Linked DNA regions of Daphnia pulex. The protein of the gene in region 2 interacts with the protein of the main gene of each other region in a pairwise test. Links are inferred from orthologs where the notes say so. Each region holds a gene or a part of one and is shown on either strand. Other genes may lie near its edges.

What was found. The genes of interacting proteins can lie anywhere in the genome.
Region 1: the proteins of protein sprint-like (region 2) and vascular endothelial growth factor receptor 1-like interact in a two-hybrid assay, tested with the Drosophila melanogaster proteins (2 studies listed by BioGRID). The link is inferred for Daphnia pulex from reciprocal best matches to the Drosophila melanogaster genes spri and Pvr.

The regions. Positions count from the first base shown.
Region 1 is NC_060028.1:2,875,307-2,879,510, forward strand, and holds the start of vascular endothelial growth factor receptor 1-like, read right to left. Parts: upstream 2,809-4,204; 5' UTR 2,154-2,808; coding exon 2,072-2,153; intron 1,697-2,071; coding exon 1,569-1,696; intron 1,495-1,568; coding exon 1,290-1,494; intron 1,113-1,289; exon of another isoform or gene 1,110-1,112; coding exon 970-1,109; intron 717-969; coding exon 545-716; intron 158-544; coding exon of another isoform or gene 4-157; intron 1-3.
Region 2 is NC_060023.1:10,103,526-10,107,552, forward strand, and holds the start of protein sprint-like, read right to left. Parts: upstream 2,810-4,027; 5' UTR 2,281-2,809; coding exon 2,113-2,280; intron 338-2,112; coding exon 1-337. UniProt on the Drosophila melanogaster protein: Potential Ras effector protein. May function as a guanine nucleotide exchange (GEF), by exchanging bound GDP for free GTP.

The DNA.
Region 1 (4,204 bases), on a different chromosome or scaffold from region 2:
TACGCTGAACTATTAGGAAGTAGGAGACTGTTTGGTTCTTATTGTTGTTGGTCCTAGCCAGGCATTCGTAGTAGCCGTGATCGTGCACCAACGAAGGGTTATTGATGGTAAAGCCCTCGTGTGGGTCGTAGGACCATTGGCTGTCTTCCAGCTCGACCTGTAACACATCACCCCACACATCCCACACACACATGTAATATAGAATTCCTCTTCCGGGTTCGTATTGACGAATACATAATCAAATTCTCAACTCATATAGCAGTGTAACATAAATATCTCTAATTAGTACTACCCATGAACAGTTAAAATATTTTAAAAAATGTTTAGAACGATCAAGCCTTATCGGTGAACGTTAGTCTGCTGCTTAAATCTTGCAATCTATTTATCACCATGCATCCGTTCCAAACTATTAAATTATGAAAGCCCCTTCAAAAAGCCGAGAAGCAACAAGCGTGAAATAAGCCAATCACCAAGGTGTGATTACACACATAGAGAGATAGATAGATATAAATGAAAAATATAAATAATGAATTGAGCAACATACGTTGAACCGATACAACGTAAGTAATCGTTTCATGCGAGGGAAAACTGGCTCCGTTTCGCCTGTACACAGCTGTGCATTGATACATGCCGGACATATCCACCGCCACCTCACTGACGATGAATCCTTCGTGCGGATTGTAGGACCATAAATCAGGATCTGTCTGTGGGTTAATCTGTTGGGAAACGATGAACGGTGACATAGTCAAGACTTACAACAGAACAATCTACGTATAAACATGTATAACAAGACAAGCAAACAGCCCCAAGACTATGCGATGAATGATACAAGCCATCACTACGACCACTACTAAATGGACCAAAGCATCTAACCCGACTTTCAGCCAATCATTATTAAAGCGCGGATGAAAATAACCCCCTTCTTTTTCTACAGCATATTCGATAGATATTACTAAACTGAATTGTTACCTCCAATCCATTGGGATCAAAAAGTGTTAGTTCCACCTTGGGACTGGTAGGTTTGCATGGAATAACTTCCCGGCTGGACTGGTGGGCTACAACGGTGACAATTCCCTCATCTCCAACGTTAACAATCAAAAATGTTTCATCTGTCCAAGAACAAAAGTTGTTAATAAACTCATAATCAACATGTAAGAGCAAGATTAACCTCAAGACCTAAATCATCTTTTACAATTCATTTCATTGTTATTTAGTTATTATTACTATTTTACTTGGCCATGCAGCCATGCTATACATACAAGCAACAACATAGATAACGAATACCCTACCTTCAACGTAAACGTAAGTTTTTACCGCCAGTAGCGGATCATCTATGTTGGCATTTCCTTTGTAATGACAGATGTAATATCCCGTATTCAAGATTGATGCGCTTTTGATTTCTAACGAAGAGCGATATTCATAACCATCCGTTGCTGGGGAGATAATTTCTTCGGTGACATTAGTTCCGTCATGGGAACTCGTTTCCAAATGAGGCTAAAAAACACATATCAATTTCAGTTATAACACTACATATCTACAGTAGGGTCTAACAAGATTCAAATAATCACCGATAAGACTGGTAATTTCCATTCTACAGGCCTGGGAGCTTCGCACGTCAGTCGAAAAGTGCCGCCACTTTGATAGATCTGTTCATCACCAGGCGGGAGCAGTCGAGGAGCCGGAAACTCTGACACAACTAAAAATGATGGAAAAAATCAATTGTTATCGAAATCAGTTGGTAACAAGTTCATCATTGGAGAATAAACCGATCGAAAAGATTAAAACAGTTAAAACAAGAGTTCTAATTTCCATCCGAGATATATTAAATAATTTAGACAACAGACAAACAATCTGCGCATATGTATATTGTTGCTAGATCAGTTGCACACAGTCGTCTTATCAGTGCTAGAAGACGCCTCAGGTTTTATCGGTGCAAGTTTAGTGGTGTGGTAGTCCCACATCCCGTCGACACATTGATATCAAATCCCAACAGGCAGCCAACCGCCCTGATGTTGAAACAACATCCAACGAATAATATGTACAACCAAATCTCGTAATAACATATACGTACCTAAGCCGGCGAAGGCAAGAACGGCTACCAGAATTGAATGACGAAAGTTTCGTTGAACAAACATTTCACCGTCATGCGACATGAGATTCTCACTACTTATTTGCAGGGTCACGTTCGCCGTTGGTCCAAAACAGTGGCACCAAAGCGAAACGCCGATTTTAAAAGTTTTTTTTTGTGTTGAGCAAACTCGCACGTCAATTGATGGCCATGTCACTATAACGCGAAAGAGAAAATGATAATTTCTCTTTTGCTTGAGGGCAGTTTTGTTTTCCAACTTCCCCAAAAAACACTCGGCTCTCCCTTTTCCCTCTGGTTCTATGTGGAAGGTGAGCACGGCTTTGACGTCATCGCCTCATGTCGAAATGCACGGAAACAAATCTGACACTAAAAAAAAAGCACCGCAGACTTAATAACAATGGTTAATGTGACACAATTCGACACACCCTTTTAGTCACCAAACATCACGATCGCTCAGGTCGTTTTGATTCAACTGCGCACAGTCCCCGCACACCACAACAACGTAGAATTTGTTTTTAACAAGTCGAACTCGAATCGCTGATAAGGACGCAAGAGTTTTAAGGTCACAACCGCCGAAAAACAAGTTTTCAAAAAAATGATACAGTTCGTGAAAAAACGGCGCAAACGCGGAATAGTTCACACTAGAAAATCTCACGAGGCTCAAACTGCTGCTGCTGCTGCCTGTTGATTCCAGCTTCACAGTGTATACACAAACATGTAGGTTAGGAAAAGTAAAGGCCCGGTTGTATATATTATTGGTGAGAAGCCCGTAGGGACAGGGCGGAGTGGGCGAGGCCAGCAGCACAGTATATTTGTGTGGTCGAGAGAAAACCTCGGAATTCGTTTATTTATTTATCGCTAGATGACTCGAAAGTTGGAAAATTTATCAGCTTTACTTTTTTCGTATGAAAATTGGTTTGTTGAGAAAACCACTTTTCTCGCTTTCACAATAACGTATCGTCACTCTTGTTGCCAGGCGGTAATCAATTTCGAATCATTAACGGACGCTCCTACCGTGGATAGAAAAGTACAGTTGACTTAAATACATAGAATATTATACGCTGTTTTCATGGGCCTTTCGTGTACTCGTAATTGTAGGGCATCTGGGTGCAGCTGCTAACAACCAACTCTAAAACTGACGGAACGACCTAATAGTTCTTTGGAAAATTTTAAATAAACGTTTACTGAAGGCACAATAGTAACTCGTATTAAATTTTGCTGTGTCACTAGATAAACGGAGTAAACTGAGCACACAAATCACTTTCCAACGTGTGCGCTTTTCTCGTAAAACCCTGACCGGCCACTACTATTTGACAAGCTCAATCCTAAGTAGGCTGACAATTTTGAAAAAAAGGGCGGTCCTTGCGAAGGATTAGAGAGCAACTGACCATCAGTGTTCGTTGATTTTATCTTGACATTAAGACAATGACAATTGAGACATGAAATCTCTTGATGAGTGTAATCTCATAAAAAAAATAAAAATCATGCATTTGGTTCCTGCCCACCGAAGTTTAGACCCACCGTATTCATGAAATAATTATTTTATTACCTAAGTTCATAGCAGGACAAGTAATGATAGATCACGACAAATTGCAACAGATAGTCATTAGAAGTCGCAAATTTATTTAGGCCTTTTTTTACTCAACGTATATACTACAGCATTGACAACTACAAAACTTTTCACTTCGACATAGCTTCGAGTGAAGAGAGTAAACCAGTAACATGGATCGTTAATTGACAAAATTGAAATGCGCATACTATTTCAGCATGCAGTTGACTAAATCAATACAGAATTTACCAGTCGGTGTGTTTGTTCAATTTGTGAGTATAGAAACCGGTGTATAATGCATAAAGTAGTGTTTCGAAAATATCATACCTAAAATCGTTTAATATTTGTGAACTACCATTTCCGAAACACAGGAAAATTGAAAGGCAAAATATTGGCAGTTTAATTGAGTTACAAACTTACAATAATGTAATACTAAAAAATGTTTGAATACAAAAATGATTTTATATTATTTAAAGTGCGTATATAAATTATGTACCATTTCTAACCAATTAAAATATCGTATAGCTAATTGCTAATATCAACTAGTCTACTAGCCAAACAAATTT
Region 2 (4,027 bases):
CTTGTTCCTGATTTTGAAGGAGCTGGGCAGCCGCTACTCGCTGGATGTTGGGCAAATACCAGATGGGATGACTTCGGATGAGCCTTTCGAGTAGTGGAATATCAGACGAGTCGACCACATCCTCGCCGCAGGGTGGTGAGATGCCGGGCAAATCGGGGCAGGAAGTCGTGTGACTGCTGTTGCTGCTGCTGCCCTCGACTGTCGGTCGGTCTGTTAATTCGGCCGTGGTTGACGAATCCGGCGATCCGCCAACCAGTTCTTGACTTCCACGTAACGTTGGGCTGGTACTCAAATCACTCAGGATGGAATCCAGATCCGAAGCGAAGCTGTTCAACATCTGCAATTGAGAAAAAAAGAAATAAAATCAGAATTTAGTTGGGAATTAAACGGTTTTCCAGGTCAAGGCCATGACGGTATGACTCATCAGAGTCTCTCTCTCTTTTCCCCCCACACGCAATTCTCAACATCCGGCGGAAATCACGATGATGTTAATGACATTTCATTCGGTACAACAGTGACATCGATTTTTTGGGCGTTGTCTGATGGGATGGCCGAGTTTCGTATCATCATTACCCCAAATCAATTAACCCCGGGGTAGTAAAAAAAAGGGTGTTGGCTGGATCGATCCGCTGATGAAAACAAAAGTCGGCCATTTTTATCGGAAATTTAATAAAAAGAAAAACGGAGGAGGAATGCCAACCCAACCACCAGAGAATTTAGAAAATAACATTCCATTTTCTCCTACTTTTTATTGTAGTCTGTTAAAAAATTTTATCTCCGAAAGGAATTTAACTGCGCTCAAGATTTCTAAATAGAAACGCGCGTTTCAATTCTAAAAATACAAAAAGAAGAAGAAAATCCATCGACGAGATTCGAATCGAATTGTGTGAAGAGATGAAAGTGGAGGGTCATATCACATAACAACACAAAGTTGAATAGAAAAAGATATAGTACACACAAGAGATGGAGAGTATGCCCAAAAATGGACAAGGGCGGGCCCCCGGTAAAAGATGGGGAAAGAAAAAAAAGAAGAAAAACATATCAACATGTTTATTCAGTATGATCGTTTAGCCGCCGGCGGGGCATAGATATATAAATTTCCCAGCTAGAGAGAGAGGCTCGTTTCAAGAGTGTGTACGAGCACCAACAACTAAAAAAACGCAAAAGGCAAGGCCACAAGATATCAATAAAGAGATTCCTCTTCTTTTTTAAAATAAAATAAGAAAAGGGGACCCGCTGGCTCGAACCCAAAAGGGGAAACTTGTAAACGGAATTCTCAGTAGGGCGAAAAAGCGGATGAGGTTACCACCAACTCAGGTATCTCTCAACCGGAAGAGGATATGATTTAGTACAAAATAACTGAAATTTCCGGAGGGGAAGAAAAGCTCCGCCGGATTAGTTCAATTGGCACTTTTAAGTAAAAGTATTTCGACATGTCATTTTGTTGGAAAATAAAAAAAAGACAAAGAGCGTGCGAAATGTGTACCAGCGGTCGAGACAACGGGCGACACAACAATGGAGCAGCCAATTGCATCCGGCTGCTGCTGGAGCTGCTCCTTTCTAAAAAGGGGGGGGGGGGATGGAAGGTATTTTTTGACGGGCGACCTCCACGCACAATAACACACACGCGGGAGTGCTCGCGTGTTGTTTTGTCGACGTGGTTTCGAGAAAGTTGTAAGAAACGGGGGAACTGAAGAAGAAATAATGAACAAGAAGAAGAAGAGTGGAAACAGTTTGGCCTGAGGCTGCGGAAATGACGGGATGGAAAGAAACCTTCTCTTTCGTCGAAAATTCCCCCCCTTATACTTCATTAGAGATGGAATTTCATCTCCCGACGAGTGTGTGTGTGTGACTCAATCACGATTAGCAGAGAAGAAAAAACCCATCCGGTTTCACATTTGACGCCACTACAACTGGGTTTCACGTGTGTGTGTCTCTCCACAATTCCGGAGGGTCGAAAAACTGTGTAGGAAGGGGGGGAGTCTGCAGACGAAAATAAGTCTGTGGGTGTGTGGGCCTAATAACTATATGAGCCCCGACTAAGATTCCAGTGCCAAAACGGCGAACTTTGTCTAGAAAAAGAATAAAATTTGATGGTAATAATGAAATTACCAGCATGTAGGAAGAAGATGAGCGAGGAGCAGGTGACGGAGTTGTTCCATCATCTGCCGATTTCATCGGACTAGCAACAACAACTGGATGAGGAGGAGATGAATTTTGTGCAACAGCAGCGAAATGCGACGCGACGAAACCAACCGGACTGCTGGATGCACATGACATAGTCCACACACGGCCGTGTTTGGCTTTCTCTTAGCTCTCTGTAACCAACTCTTTTTCCTCTGTTGGTCTCAATCGTACACACACACACCAACAATTCTCCCCTTCTTCTTCTTGCTAATGGTGGAGCACACAAATATCTCTCCCCTCCAGTCTGCCAACACACAAAACGATGATTTCGATTCTTGTTGTTTTAGATATCCATCGGTTGTGCAAATGTGTGTCGATTGGGGAATGCAAAACAACACACACACAGAGAGAGAAACGTGTAGGCCCCTGAGCCAACAAACGGCGTGGGGGAAATTCAACACGAGTTTTTAATTCGACGACTGAGCACGACTTGAGTTCATCGCTGACTGGCTCGCGGCACAGCACACAGGAAATATCTCATACGCTACTCTACGATCTACCCAAAGGGGGGAACGACGAAATTATCAAAAAAGGGCATGACAGATGTTTCGTCTGCTATCGTGCAGCCACCTAGCGGAGGAAAATAGAAACTCGAGAGAGTTTTCTGTGAGACAACATGAACAAATGATGGAAAAATTGATAAAAACAATGGCGAAATAAACCTGGGTCGTAAATATCGCACGGTCGTAAAGAATGATTAAACAATGGTGTAAAAGATAACACCCCCAAAAAAAGCTCGTGATTATACGTGTGGAAGAAATCGGTGAGCTAGGTGTAACTGGAGCGTGAAAATGGTGAGCTCGATCGCCGTTCTGATTGGAGCGTGTGGGTACCAACTCGTGCTAAATTCAACTGAATAAATGAATCGCTCGTCCAATGTTGTGAGTCGTGATCGTTTTCTTTGTGTCAGCCGTTGGTTGTTTCGTTTTCTCTCACCTGTCTCTCATTCTCATCGGTCATCCACGAACCCTTTTCTCCACACTCAAACAGGTGCAGCAACAACAACAACAATCTCTCGTATTCTTTCACTCACGTGTTTTTTTTTCTCTATCGAGTCCATATCATTCCAGCGGCTATCTATAAAAAGCCGTGTTTTCGTGAATGAAACAAGATTTATCTTCCTGCATGACCGCCATCTTCTTTTTGATTCACATCTGATTTCATTCTGTTCCAGTTCCGGGTTTAGAAATTCAGAACCATGAATCACCTGATGGACGAACGATCAGCTGGAAACCAAGTCACGACTTCTTTTTTTAGACTCAAACATCTTTTTTTTTGTGGAAATGATCAAGTCAAATTTTGTCCAACACGAAGAAGAAAAAACAACAATTCCTTTTCTTGTATTTCAGTGATAAATCCATAAATCAATTTTTGTTTTTTTCAATCTATAGTACAACATTCTATGTATATGGAACAAGGGGTTGGTATAGTGTAGTGAATCGGTAGTGAACTTCTTTTTCTTCTTCTTTCTCCAGACCACCCGAGTCCCGCGGTCCGATTGAAAACAATTCGGTATCGCTCGATCAACAACACAAAATGAAACAAAAACATTTTCGATTCGTTTCTGGATGTGAAATGAATCGACACCACACTCGGCATTAAGAAATTTAGAAGGGAGAAAAATAGAAAACGAGAGAGAGAAACATAATTTCGTCTGTATAGATGCAATTTGAAGGGAAAGATTGTTTTAAAGAGAGAGAAATAACATTTTTTCTTTCGTAATAGTTATAACAACTGGTCATCATCATCGGTTTGCCAGGAGCACTAGGTCACGTGACAGCATCTTATACCCTGTAGGTAATCGAAGAAAAAAGGAGGAGAAAGATAAGAAAGGAGAATG